Linked DNA regions of Oreochromis niloticus. The protein of the gene in region 2 interacts with the protein of the main gene of each other region in a biochemical or structural test. Links are inferred from orthologs where the notes say so. Each region holds a gene or a part of one and is shown on either strand. Other genes may lie near its edges. The genes, in order: smyd3 and map3k2.

Region 1 (7,418 bases), on a different chromosome or scaffold from region 2:
ACAGAGAAAACTTAAGCTGAGTTGCTTACTGAGCCAAATAGTGTGCTGGGAATCCAGAAGAGGTGAAAGTTCTCATACATCCCTGAAGACAATCAGAGAAACAGACTTAAAGACAGATACATAGCGTAAAAATAAAAACAATGAGAAGAGAGCCCATCGCAGTATTACAGGAAATAACCACAAGATGAATAACAAACACAGAGCGGGATATCAGAGACACTGAGGGTCAAGACAGAGTGAGGCTAAGACATGGAGACACTGGGTGATGCTGGGAGCATTAGAAACACAAGATCAACAAAATCAAAACCAGAACCCAAACTCAATAAATACTAACCAGAAACCCAGGACTGTAAGTATTCACTTTAAATTGTGTGTTTTAGGCTCATAATCCACGCAGGAATGTTTCTACCAGCGCTCTATTTTGCATTTACAAGAACTAACCCTATAGTTCTCATTAAGGGGGTTTATCCTGCTCTACTGACTGCAGTGCTCATCTCATCCAGGTAAGATTACCTTTGAGGTCTTGGTTCTCAGCTGTTTGATGTTAGCTTTGAGTGTCCATCACCAGTGCTCGTCTTTATAGTTATTAAATATGTGAAATTATGACCAAGGGATTAAACCCTTACGATTGATTTATAGCTCTGCCACATTGCCCCTCACTTTCCGATGTTGTGAGGACAGAATCAAGATCGACCGCAGAATCACTCGTTTCATGCTGCCCATCGGTACCAACATCAACATGGATGGAACTGCCCTTTACGAGGCAGTCGCAGCAGTTTTCATTGCCCAGCTCAACAACATCAAACTGAACCTGAGCCAGCTGATCACCATTGGGTACGTTGATTATTTTATGACACTGTTTGTCATTGATGTAGTCTTCAAGAATCCAATGTAACTGGTCTGTTTGCTCTGTAGAGTTACAGCAACGGTCTCCAGCATAGGAGCAGCAGGAATCCCGGCGACAGGAGCAGTGACGACTCTCTTTGTTCTGACTGCAGCCGGTTTACCTGTGGGGGACGCTTCCATCCTTGTGGTTATAGAATGGCTACTGTGAGTTTTAGAAATGGACATGACACAAATAGTGAATAGTTTTGTCACAGATGGCCAAAGGAGTCTCTTCTGCCTTCATTGATTCAGAAACTGAAAACATAGACGTACTGTATGAACATAAAATTGAAAAAAAAAAGCAGTGTTATGTAGTTTTAATTTATTGTTTAGTTTAGCATGAGTTTTTTCTTTTGTATTACCTTTCAGAGACCGCTGCAACACTGTGGTGAATGTTTTCGGAGACTGCATCGGTGTGGCACTTGTCTGTCATCTGTCCAGACATGAACTGGAAGAAATGGACCTGACAAGGTGATGTTCTAGATTAGCGGTCCCCAACTCCCGGGCCGGTCTGTGAGTACAGGGGTTCAGTGTGTCGTACAGTGAAATGGATCAGCTGTCAACAGAAATAAATATTATGGTGGTAGTTTAAAGTGCATATTTACATTTAAAGTTCAAAATCTGCAGAGTGAAGCTTATACATTTACATTTTGTTTCTCGTGGTTGTTTTGCGCTCCAGGGAGGTTCGTGCTGAGGAATCTGCCCAAGGAGAGAAAATGTTATCCAGCACCCCGTTGCCTTTGGACAATACTGAGTCTTTTCACACACCCATAGAAGTTATTGTTTGATTTAGTGGCTTTTGCTTTGTATTTTACTGTTGTAATTTCACTGGATGGTTTAGAAGACTGACATCAAACAGAAGACTGTTAATGTGAAGAATCTAGTAAATGATGTACAGCGATACTACAGAGATATCACAATCTTTGTGAAGTTGTATGACATATTTCTTTATTTAATTATTTCAGTTTTAATTGAATTGATATGACATGTATATGAACTGAATTCAAGTAATATATTTAGTATTTCTTTTTAATTAAAATTCTGTAATAAGTATGCTGTTTATTTGAAAATTTGATTTGAATAACTATCAGGAAAATGTTAACATGTCCTCACTAGGCAGTGGGCAGTATCTTTATAGGGATAATGTAAAAAAAAAAAAATCAAAGATTTGTGTGATGACATAAACAGTCAGTGATTTGTGTAAATTTTGAAGAAGCACGAATTCATAAATATTAGTTTACCAAGATTCATTTTGAGGCAACTTACAATAGTAGACTGACATTCAAAAATGAGCAAAACCACATCAGGTGCCAGAGACATTATATTATTATTCCAAAAGGACTTTGCTGCTGAACAATAGTTCATCTGTTTTAAACTTCTGAGAACAGGAGCACTGCAGCTGGTAGGCCTTTTACCATATAGATGGCCAATCATCCAAACCACGCAAAAATCACCCAAGTGACCATTAATCTGCTGAAAATATATCTTTATTAACAAAACAAACAGATCAAATGCTTTTCTTAAGTGTACCTGTGTCTCTGTCCAGCATCTTTCCAAGGTTTTGCTAACAGTGCACAAATATTACACAACAGAGAATTCAGAAATCACATTTGATAGTGCATGCTTCATTAGTTCATATTAATAAATCTAATAACAACCATATACAGCATTACCTAAAACTAAACTAATATTAAAAGGGAAGGCATTGGTTTATTATATTATTAATATTAACATATTATTATTATTAATATGTTTATTGACATTTCTATGCCATTTACAAATACCGTCTATGTTATATCTAAAGAAAACAAAAGCAAAAACACTCAATAAAAACCAAGTGTTAAAAATAATAAATTGTGAGGTGCACACACAGTTTGGAAAGAAATAATAATAAAAAAGAAATACAAAAAATACGAAACAATCGTTTTGCATTTATATGTAGTAAAAGCGTGTGTACGTTCATGTGACGTCATGACGCAGCGTTTATCACGGATGTAAACACGGAAGTTTGTTTCACGTGGAGGGAAAATCAATGATGGCACCGATGCTCGAGCGTTTCGTCAGCCCAGGGAAAGGTAACGGTCTCCGGGCAGCGGGCAGGATACGCAAAGGAGAGCTGGTGATCTCTGCCGAGCCGCTGGCCTGCTGCGTGTCCAACAGACTGGCCAAAGAGGTCTGCCACCACTGCTTCACTCGGTAAGACCGGGGGTGCTTGATCTGTCAGTGTGACCTGCGAACAGCCTTTTGTGGAAAGGAAACGCTGCTGGGTGTATAGTAGTGTGTGTAGTTAAAGTGGAGGCAGTGTGATGGTTGAGGACTCGCTCTGTGCTTGTGGGAAGCTTAAATAGATAAATGATTTCTATCTATGTTAGTTTTAGTTTACCGAAGGTGGTATATACGGTCTACTGTATATCACAGACTGTATAGTCTTTATATATAAGTGGGTGCATGGGTACTATGGATATTCCTTGTTCATCATAGCTGCTGAAGGATAACTTTAGTAGATGCAGTTCTTCAACCGGCCACGAGATGGTAGCAAGGCTCCTTCATGGAGGAGGCAGACTTCAGTTATAATAATCTGACAGTGAAATTTATAATAGGAAAAAAAAATCTTTATAAGTGCTGTAAAAACAATAATATCAACAATATCAACAACCATGAACCCCTCCCTTTGTTAATGGGGAAGTGAATACCAAACCAAGCATTGACTTCCTGATCCAAAGTTCAGCTTCAATTTCAATATATGTAAATTTTTCTAGTGAAATGTTTAACATCATTTGTCCCATCCACGACACAACATTTGGTCTATAAGATCTTTATGATAGATCTTTTTTTTTAATGGCTGAGTTTTATCAATATTGATTTGTTTTGACTGTGATTTTCTTCTTTCGAATACAGTCCAAGTAGGAGTTCTGGAATTAGTTTTGAGATAATTTTCTCATGTCACTCTGACCTCAGCCCATAGTGTTATTAATCTTTTAGTGACTGCATATTTGGAGCATATTTCTGATTAAACTTGGCATAATATACAAAGGGTTGCACTAAAAAATTACAGTGAGTTTGTCTGAGGCGTGTAATAACTGACTTAGTACAGAGTTACAAGTTTTCACAGGACTATATGCAATCCTGGGGAAACCTAAGTACACCCCTACTGCTTCCATAGGAATTAAGAGGGTAAGTACAGGTGCTGCTAATCAAAAAAATGTATATGATTGAGGTCAGCCTCAGTTTTAAGCACTTTTATAAAACAGACGTTTTGACAGTTTCCTAATCTGGAGCATTCAAGTCTGTGTTGACACAATGCTGCAGTTTCCCAAGAGTGGACTTCCCAGCAAATTCACAACAAGGTCAGACCATGAAATGCTCAGAGTAAGTGCAAAGAAACCAAAGAGCCATGCATCAGACTTTACAGACCTCAGTTAGCATGTTAAATGTTGAAGTTCAGTTAGAGAAAGGCTGAATATGTGTGACTTTTTTGGAAGGGGTTATGGTAGAAAGTCTCTCTCTATATAAAAGTACATGGCAGTATGGCTTAGGATTGTAAAGCTGCATCTAAATAAACGACAAGACTTCTGGAATAATGACCTTTGGAGAGAGGACGAACCATATTGTGTTAGAAAACTTGGAAATGTTATTATCTTTGTGTTCATGACCAAGGACTCAAAGCCAGTAATACCTATTGTGGCTTTTGTTGGTTGTATGATTAATTGTACTCTTGTTTAGATACAGAATATAGAATATGCATTAAGAGTTAGTATGCAGTATCAGTTGATATGGGGCCTCATGTTGGGTCTTTTATTACTGCCTGATTCTGAAGCTCTGTCCTTTATGCTGCTAAATTAATTTGTCATTGGGCTACCAAGCAGCGAACTTACAGCAGTGTGATGTTTGTCCACATGTATACAGCACTGAATTAGCCTCAGATTGTTTTTTGTACTGACCGAGTATCCTCTTGAAATTATAAACAGTTTCTCGTTCTCATATCAAATTCATAATTTTTTTCATTTTTCCTGATTATATGTGGGAAGGTACACATTATCCTTTATTTGCATCAATCTGATGACTTGTCCTTGGTTTCATCTCATTTCCTGCTGTTATTTTTTTTTCAGTTTGATGCTTAATGATAGCACTGTGGCTTTCTAATGTAGACAAACCTACTTAATCAGGCTAAATGGATGTATGTGAATTTAATGAGGCTGCTAAGGAGAGAAACAAGTGTGCTAATTTCTGGTGCAAAGTGATAGGTTAATTACTGTGTGCTATAAATAGTACATATATGAGCCTAAGAAACAAATGAACAGAGACAGTCTAGCAACGGGATCACATCAGCCGTGATGCCAGTGACTCTCATCAGTGGACCGCACTCGTGTTCAACCTGGGCCTCTGTTTTTGTGTTGTATTGTGTTGACAGATTTGTCCAAAACTAGCCTTCCTGTCATGGCTGGTTGCAATGATCAACACAAGTAGTTATTGCAGGCATCTTCTGAGAGAATAGAAAAATACACATATTTAAACAAGAAAGTAATGCTTTTTAGAGAGTGTATTCACTCTTTAATGCCGCAGTCAAAATTACTCTCTCTTCTCACACTGTAATATGTATCTGATGAAATGTTAAATTGTATTCAGGTTCATGGTCAATGAAAATGCTTTTACATTGCAAATTTTGATTAATTTGTACTGAAATCTCCTAATCTGTACCCCACCATCAACACATACACCTGGTAAAAGTCTCTGCAGTGCTGTGAAAAACGGTCTGGGCTCACCCTTTCTGATTTCGTATTAATTTTGCATATTTGTCACATAGTTTCATATTTGTTATTACAGCTCAAATAAATTTAAATGTTAGACAAAGACAACCCAAATAAACACCAAATGCAGGTTTTAAATTATGATTTCATTTGTTAAGGAAAAAAATCGTTTGAGATAACAGGCAGTGAGTCTTTCACATTGCTATGGAGAATTTTGGCCTGGTCTTGTGTGCAGAATAGGTTTTTTTTAGCTGCATTTAATGATTTTTGAGCATGAACCACATGTTTCATGCCAAAGCATTTCAATCTGATTTAAGTCTGCACTTCGATTCATTTTGTTTTCAGCAGCAAGGCAGCCCTAGACCATAATACTACCATCACCATGTTTGACTGTTGCTGTGATGTTCTGTTTATGAGATGCTGTGTTCATTTTACAGCAGATGTAACAGGAGTTAATCTTTCTAAAAAGTTCAACTTTTGTCTTGTCAGTCCACAGAATATATAGAATATGTGTATATATAAATATACATATATATAGAATACCTGTTTTTTGGGGGGAAATGGCCAAAAACATCTGAGGACCAAGTTGTATGTGCCAAATGTGGAGCAATCCATTTGAACTTAAGTAGGACAGTTATCTTTCTTGGGTTTCTGTCTCATTGCTGGCTTGTTAAGGAAAGAGTGGGTCATCACAGTGCAGGCTCCAGTTGTGACACAGCAGTGACAGTCAATGATCAGTACATTTGGCACCGCAGCACATCCACTTTATCCACGGGTAATGACGTTAATGTGGGGGATGGAACAATTCTATTCACTTAACTGTCCAAGTACCCCAGAGATACATGCTGCACCTCACACTGCTTTGTTAGAGCAGCAGAAGACTGTCGCCGTGTGCCAATAGCTGCAGTGTATGCTTCCTCTGTCAGTTACTCAAATAAAAGCTTAGATAATAGAATACCAATAAAGAGATAATAAACACTCTGCTGGAAAGTAAATATGGAGAAATATTGCTACATGAACTAACATCAGGACAGGGCTGTTTATTTTCTCTATTGTTTTTTTTTTCAAGCTGCTTCCTTTGCATAGTGACAAGATGAAGATGGATCAGCCAGTAGATAAGAGGGAATGCAAATGTTATATAAAATAATGTGTTTATTAAGTCAATACTGGAGATAGTAAGTCAGCCATTATAGCAGTTGTTTGAAAGAAATAGTCATAAATCTTAAAGCTAGAAAACTAGTGTTTATATGTAAACATAACATATAACAAGTAAAAGTACAATAAAGGGAAAATAAAGAACCATAGAAATGAGGCAAGAGGAAAGTAAGAGAAAGAAAGAGAAAGATGAACAGCCAGAGAGCAAGAAGTGGGAGGGGTGACTCATAATACAGTACAGATTTAAGATCCTCCACAGCCCAAAGTATAATTGTGTCTTCCTCAGATCCATGCATTCAAATTGTGGACAGATAAAACAAGCAACATCATTGAAAGTAGGCATCCATCGCTGCTGAGTAAGCAACTGATGCTGTTTCCACCTTGTGGCAACCAGCTGTGCAGCACTCATCAAACCAGCTAAGAACACGTTTTTGCACCTTATGCAGTTGCAATTGGTGCAAATCGTTTAAAACCATAACCGATGGGAAAAGTGGAACAGAAATATTTAATTTTGTTGACAGATTGTCAGCAAATTGACTTTAATTTAATTGATTTTAACCATCTTCCAAAAAACGGACTAGTGTGCCCTCTATATAAGTTATAAAGCTGCTGTCGAGTCATATACATCCT
Region 2 (7,418 bases):
CACAACTACAACACGGGAAAAGACCCAGGGAAACTGAGTTAACAATAAAAACCCTGAAAACCCGAACCTCAACTCTCGCGCCCCAGTACCAAACGACTCACAGCGCAGTGCCCGGGGGGGTTGGGACCGCTGCTCTAATGCATCCATGACTGTGTGTGAATGTTAGATAGGAAGCACTTCAGCATAGAAAAAAGTCCCTGTATGAGTGGCTGTGAATGGGTGACTGAGGCATGTTGTATAAAGTGCTTTGAGCGCTTAGGTAGAGTAGAAAGGCGCTATATAAGAACCAGTCCATTTACTACAGGAAGCAGAGGAAAATTACATTTCAAGTTTCGTACCTCATTGTTTGTGTAGTGGAGGTCCATTGTCTGACCAAAAGCCACTTTAGCTTTCGACCTCAGGTCCTCCAGCTTGATAGGTCGAGGGAACTGCAAAATCCTGCAGAGAAGAAGACAGGTGAGCGGTCAGAGACGGGCACTGCTGCTGGTCTGCACTGACAGCACTGGAGGGAGAAACACAGCAGTGGAAACCTCACCTCTTCTCCCCTTTGAACTCGAACTTCACTCTCACATCATTCTGTTGGAGACAGAGCACAGAGTTAAAGACAGCCAGAGCAAAGATGAGCCAGGCTGAGCCTTTGTGCTTTCACTTGGGTTACCTGGTTCTTGGGCGACGAGGCTTTGGGTTTGCACAGGTCTGACAGGAACGCGGCAGGACGGCTGGAGCGGTGCAGTTCGGCCAAGTCCTGCATGATGGAGTTCAGCGCCTCCTGCTCATCTGCGAGACAGCACGACTTCTGCTTATTCAACAGGTTTTATCATTGAAAAACTCAACTTGCGCTTCCACTTAGCCGCACAACAAGGACTATTGTCAGGCAAGATGTCAAAGAGCCATTGTTCGGGGGGGAGAAAAAAAAAAAAAAAAAAACCATTCCTCAAATTATAGGTCTGTCAAAAGATGAAGCTGACTCGCTGCCAATGAGTAACACTGTCTCACAGCATGTACCTACCCATCTTAATGGCACGGCGATTGACCCAGGAGGCCAGGAAAGAGGATTCTCCCATCAAAGGGATTCCTTTCTCCTGAAACACAAAAACATCATCATAAATCCTTACATGCAGTTAAAAGGGATCATTACACATAGTGTGTGAATAAAAACATTTCTGTTAACTGAAATTGTCTGAAAAATGCAAATTTATTGTAACTCGCCTTTATTTATTTTTTTCAATGTCAAAACAAGCATCTGGAGGCTTTATACATATTTTAAGAGTGTTATGTCTACATGATAGTTCTATTTCCCGATGCACCAATCCAGCATTTGGATCAGATACAAATCATCTATGCTGTTCTATGTCTACTATGTTACATATCAGCAGCAGTTGCTCCAACATAGCCTGGAGGACACCAGCAGCAACGAGGGTCAGGGGTTTGAGTACTGCTACACCAGCAGCTTTTCTCTGTATGTTTGCAGAAGTTTTTGACTTAACTGTGAGCTTCCCTGTCAGCTTCTCATTCTCACTCTCAGTATGTGTAAGGTGTAAAACTTGTTAGGAAGCATTTATTGCATTTTTATGGTAACATAACATGTCGTCATCAATATTTCTTCACTTCACGCCCCACACAAAGTGCATGTGTGAGTCAGGAGTGCTCCCAGCGAGTTGAAAGAAGAATAGTGCAAATAAACTAGGGTGAGGAATTCAGACACATTTGATTCATTTTACTTGTGCTGGCCAATCATCTGTCTTTTTCACTAATAAACTTCAATAAGTTTATATTCTTGGATGTATTCACCACATTTCTTAAAATAAGTAAAATAATGTTTGAGTCAAACGCAACGTTTTGATCAGCAAAAAAGATTCTCAGTATCTTCCTCACAGTGAGGAGCACATATGATTAAATTAACACTGAAACCCAAACCCGGTACTTGATATCAATATACAGTGCTGTGCAAAAGTCTTGAGTCAGCTCTTGTTTCTTTACATTTTGCTTCCAAGAAGCCACACTGTCATTTTTTAAAGTGGCCTTGAGTAAAGAACCAATTTCTTAGTAGAAGCCTGTCACAAAACATCATCTGTTTTTGTATTTCAGCCAGTGGTGTCAGAGATTAAAATCAATGAATAATGAACACAGAAAAAGTACCATGCAATCCACCATGCAATACCATCTGGAACACATCTAATTGCCAACGCCTTGTTTTTTCAGCATGACAATAATCCCAAACACACTGCCAATGCAAGTAAAAACAATTATTCTTTTTGTGTCTGATTATTCTGCACACTACAGACTTAAACCATAAGAATATCGAGCTCAACTGTGAGGTTGCTTAAGTAAAAATCCCACACGTATTCTGAATATCAGCCATAATCTAAACACCTTAAGCAGGCTTACTAAATATTATTTACATACAACCCTGGTTTAACAAAAACCTGTTTTACTTATGACACTGCTTACAAGAACTACTCTACCCACAATCCTGAACTGAAACAGCAATGCCTCCAATCGGTGGAGGTCGCTGTTACTGTTGAAATTCTTTAAATGTAGGAACATCAGCACAAAACTTCAGAAAAACAAGCGAGCAATGATTGCAGCGAGGCTAAACTTTACTACACACACACCATGAATTACAACATATAGTCAAAACTGTTATTACGCAACACTAAAACAACCCAAAGGATTACATTGAAGGAGGCTGGAATTCATTCACTGTGAAATCTAGGATTTGCAGCGCATTATGGGGATGAGCAGTTCCTGTACACAGCCTCGTACCTTTGCCTTCTTTTTTTGATCCAAATCAAATCTTTTTAATGGCCATGATTCACCTCATAGCTGGTTGGTTTGGTCTGAGGATTAAAACTCTTTATATAAGGATTTTCTGAAACATCAATAGAGAGAATGAACAAGGAACTCACTTCTGGAATGGGAGCCCTTAAATTGCTGTGTTCCCTACAAAGATAAATAGTATATTTGTGATTTTATAAGGGGAAAAAAAAAAAAAAAAATCACATGAGAAAACAGCAGCGACAAAATCTTTAATACAAGTGTAGTGGAGTAAATGCTGACCCTACTTTAAGAGCCCTTTTCTTCACATTTAAACTACCCACACTGGTGGATATTTTATTGCCAATTTAATGTGAAAATATTGGTTAATGTGGTTCCATTCAGATGAGTCAGTTTCCAGACCATACCTTTCTACTGATCACTGATTATGTTTAACTGGGCTCCGGATACCCACACTATAGGAGGTCAAGCATTTAGCTTTTGAATTTGTCACTAAACTGTATATTATACTATTGCATTGCCATGTATAGTGAAATATGCAATGACTGTAGCTATGAGTGTCCAATAAAGGCGCTATAAAGGTTGCAGCATACGCTTGAGTGTGGAATAAAAGTAGTTTATTGTTCAGTTATCAATTAATATTATTGAACATAACCTCCAGAATTTAATCTGTACAAACATAATTAGCCCTCATCTTATTGTTATTGCAAAAGAGTGGAAATTTAAGTCAAGATGGCCTCTGCTGACGAGGAGTTGATTGGAAATTGGTGATGATAGTCTGTGATCATCACTGATTGATGAGAGAGCTGCAGCATTGGTGCTAGCTTTAGCTTAGCGTTTTTTCTTCTCTCTTTTACCCTTACATACATCATCCTCCTGATGAGCATCATCTTCTGTGCCGACTCTTGCTCAGTGCTCACAACAAAGTTGATATCAACAGCACAATTATGGCCTCCTTTGGTAGATAATTAGCTCGCTTTAGATTCTCCTGCTAGCGTTAGCCGAGTAGCAACATAGCAACTGATGCTAGCATATTTTTAGCATTTACAGCCGCTTTGATGAATAATTATAAGACACTTTTGACACTTACGCCCAAAATACTGTTTGTTATCTAATCAGAGAGCCGATATGTGAAGCTAAGCTAGACGTGTGCAACTAGCTGTCAGGCCAGGGAAGTTGTCAAGCTGAGCTAATGCTAACAGCCAACCGCACAGCTAATCAGCGTTCACCTGCGCTGCACGACTATAATAAAAACAAACAGCCCTTAAAGGAATAAATAAACCCTTCAAATGGATCCAATACTTCTTTAGTATCGTACCTGGGCGCTAATTAGATGTGTAGTCACTTCCTCATCCACAGGGCCGGTGACAGGAGCCCCGGGCCCCGCGGAGAGCCGCTGGAGGAAGCAGAAGTTTGGCAGTCCGCTCCCAACTTCACTCGAGTGCTGCCGGACCACGACGACGACGAGGCCTGACGACTGTCAGAGGAGCCAGCTGAAGCTTTTCGACCACAAGACGACAAAACGGCGGCTCGTCTGACTAAGTAGCTCCTTGTCTGTGCAGTGGTTAAAAGGCTAACTTAATCAGAGGCGCTCTTTTAGCTGTACTTTACACCCTGGTTAACGGTAGCTCCGCTCGCTGCTGACCCCACGACGCCATCAAGCTGTCACTTATTAAAAATAATTTAACCGGAAGTAGAGACAGAGAATAAAAGAAGATACATTCAAGTAACTATTATGTGTTTTATTTTGACAACCAGTGCCAGGATATCATATTTCATTTACGGAAACTTGAAAGGTCTTAACCCCAACCTTGTCGGAAGAGTCCAATAAAAACACGACCTGTCACGTCAGAGAAATTTATGAGTTTCCTGTCAAAGAGTAAATACATTTGATTGGTGTTTAATCACTGAGTTATTGTAGTTTTATTTTTTTTTAATAGTTTTATAGATTTTATTACAATTTAATATAATTGTTCAACATATTTAGAGATTTAAGAGTTTCTATTGATTAAATTCATTATTATTAATTATGCAAGCACAAAATTATAGCTACACTCTCTCAGGGGTGCATAAAATTAAAATATGCATATATATATATATATATATATATATATATATATATATACATATATATATATATATATATATATATATATATATGTATATACATACACACAGGGCCATGCCTACAAATGCATAAATAATATATCACCATACGTAGTTTTGAAGGAAGTAAATAATGAGACTGGACATCAAAATATTGCACATTAGAATTGAACATGAGTTATTTACAGCTGGTATATATCTATATACACTTTGACATCTACATGACTGTAGATGCCTTTGCATATTTGGCTTGGAGATTAAAATGAGCCTGCATGACTACTCTGGCACATTTACATCATAAACCTGAGCGCTCATGTAAATTAATGTGCATTGTCCCATTTAAATAAAGTAAATATAAATTTAAATCTTTTGCTTCTGCGGATTTGCTTCTTTCATTTTAGTTTAGTTTTTTATTATTTTTAGTATTAGTTTGGAGGTTTCTTTGTTATGTAATGGGTGCTATTTGTTGGTATTGTCAGGTAATGGTGGTATTTACTGCTATTATTATAATTAACACCTGAGGCTGACGTGTTGCTGAAACTGGACTAAACTGAAAAAGAGTAAATTTGAAGCAATTGATATTTTAATTCTGTTTAAATTAGTTTTGCAAATGCATAATATGATTTTAATTTTTTTTTCTTTCCTATACAGCTCTAGGTTGTTTATTTTTTTAAATAAAATTTAACAAAATGTTTAATGTATTATAAAAGTATTTTGTTATATATCCACATCACCAGCATTTAAAAGGCCAATAACTTGATGTCACTAATGGACTGATCAATATGTATTGTATTGATCTGTATTTATAATTTAAAATGTGAATTTTAATTTTAATTAAAAGCCAAACTCTTTAATCAACTTGTCTGGGTGCTTAAAAATAATGTGAAACATATATAGGGGCAGTTTAGACCAAGCACAAATGGAAATTCTGATATCACTCAGGTGAGACAAAACTGATTTTAAAAACCTCAAACTCCAAATAAGCCAGTGTTTATCTAGTTTATATTCATTCTTATTAGCCAGATAAAATGAATTTGTTAATAAAAAAAACAAAAAACAAACATATTTTAGAGCTTTAAAATGATCCTGCAATAAAACACAGTGTCATTGTGTGTGTGTGTGTGTGTCTGTGTGTGCGTGTGTGTCTGTGTGTCTGTGTGTGTGTGTGTGTGTGTGTGTGTGTGTGTGTGTGTGTGTGTGTGTGTGTCACATCCTGACATTATCAAAATTTAAAAAACAAAAACAGCCCTATGTTTTCTGCAATGTGCCTACAACTTGTATGATATGGAAAGGGCCCCATTATAATACATTTCTCCATCTAAGAGTTTCTATATTATATTTTAGTGTCAGTTTTGTTCATGTTGTCTAAGTTTATTATTGCATTTAGACCCAGTGTTATCTAGATTGTGGTTTATGGTTTTGGTCTTTGGATTGTTACACCCAGCTTGATAAAAGTCAAATACAGAGACTGCAAGCATTCCTTCCATAAAAATATAAACATTGTTCTTTAAAAAACATAAAACGTCTGTACTCTGTGCTGCATATTCACCACATTATTAGTCCGTTTTCAAAAAAAAAGTTTTTTCTGTGCTATAAAAGTACACTGAAAAGGGGGAAGAGTCCATAAAAAAGTACAATGTACCATTTTAAAATAAAGGAATTTTCCATTTAAATGTTTTATAGATATTTTTCCATACTTTTTAAATAAATACCGGGTTTAATTATTTACCGTGTCCATAAACTTGCATTTACTATCAGCAAAGATTTATATCACACTCTAATGGTCAAACATTACATTATACATATATTATATTGTAAAATAGTCTGCCTTGGTGACCAGTCGGGCAGATGGCCGACCCTCCCTCAATCTGCTTGTGTTGGAAGTTCATTTCCTATTAAAAGGCAGTTCTTCCTCCCCACTGTCACCAAGTGCTTGCTCATACGGGGCTGTCTGATATGGGGGGTTTCACTCAGTGTTGTAACAATTTGTAGATTTAGAATAATCAAAACATTTTCGAAACAACACTTTTGGCTGTGCCTTTATTTTCCCAAGGGTGTGCCACAGCCGATAGATGTGCAAAAGTTGTTGCCTTGGCACAGAGTTCACACCAGATGTCCTTACTGACACAACCCTCCCATTTATCCAGGCTTGGGACCAGCACGTACACTAAGGACACTGAGTGGAGACTGAGTTTGTGTCTCCACCCTCTCAAATTTTTTGACCACTACACCACAGAGCCACTTGTTGTAAAAATAACCTGTTATGGGGAAATTCAAATTTATGAAGTTACAAAAATTTATATAGTTCTTCATGTGATATGTTATAATCAGTGTTGGGTAAGTTACTTTAAATTAGTAACTTAGTTACATTACTAGTTACTTCTATCAAAAGTAACTCAGTTACTTCAAGTTACTCGTTACTTTCAGAGTAACTAGTTACTAGGGAAAGTAACTTTGGTTTTACTCAGAATTCTCTTGTTAATGTGTTGCTTCCGTAACTGGATACCCAGCCAGACTGCCAGTCTTCTAGCTTG

The links.
Region 1: the proteins of map3k2 (region 2) and smyd3 are reported together in a solved structure, tested with the Homo sapiens proteins (2 studies listed by BioGRID and IntAct, with this or other methods). The link is inferred for Oreochromis niloticus from reciprocal best matches to the Homo sapiens genes MAP3K2 and SMYD3.

The regions. Positions count from the first base shown.
Region 1 is NC_031965.2:25,952,141-25,959,558, forward strand, and holds the start of smyd3 (histone-lysine N-methyltransferase SMYD3), read left to right. Parts: upstream 1-2,866; 5' UTR 2,867-2,917; coding exon 2,918-3,081; intron 3,082-7,418. Other genes in the region: excitatory amino acid transporter 3, read left to right, coding at 381-503, 640-834, 916-1,050, 1,255-1,356, 1,565-1,673. UniProt on the Homo sapiens protein: Histone methyltransferase. Specifically methylates 'Lys-4' of histone H3, inducing di- and tri-methylation, but not monomethylation. Also methylates 'Lys-5' of histone H4.
Region 2 is NC_031986.2:20,161,163-20,168,580, reverse strand, and holds the start of map3k2 (mitogen-activated protein kinase kinase kinase 2), read right to left. Parts: upstream 4,452-7,418; 5' UTR 4,097-4,451; intron 1,083-4,096; 5' UTR 1,065-1,082; coding exon 1,010-1,064; intron 778-1,009; coding exon 659-777; intron 577-658; coding exon 536-576; intron 439-535; coding exon 339-438; intron 1-338. UniProt on the Homo sapiens protein: Component of a protein kinase signal transduction cascade. Regulates the JNK and ERK5 pathways by phosphorylating and activating MAP2K5 and MAP2K7. Plays a role in caveolae kiss-and-run dynamics.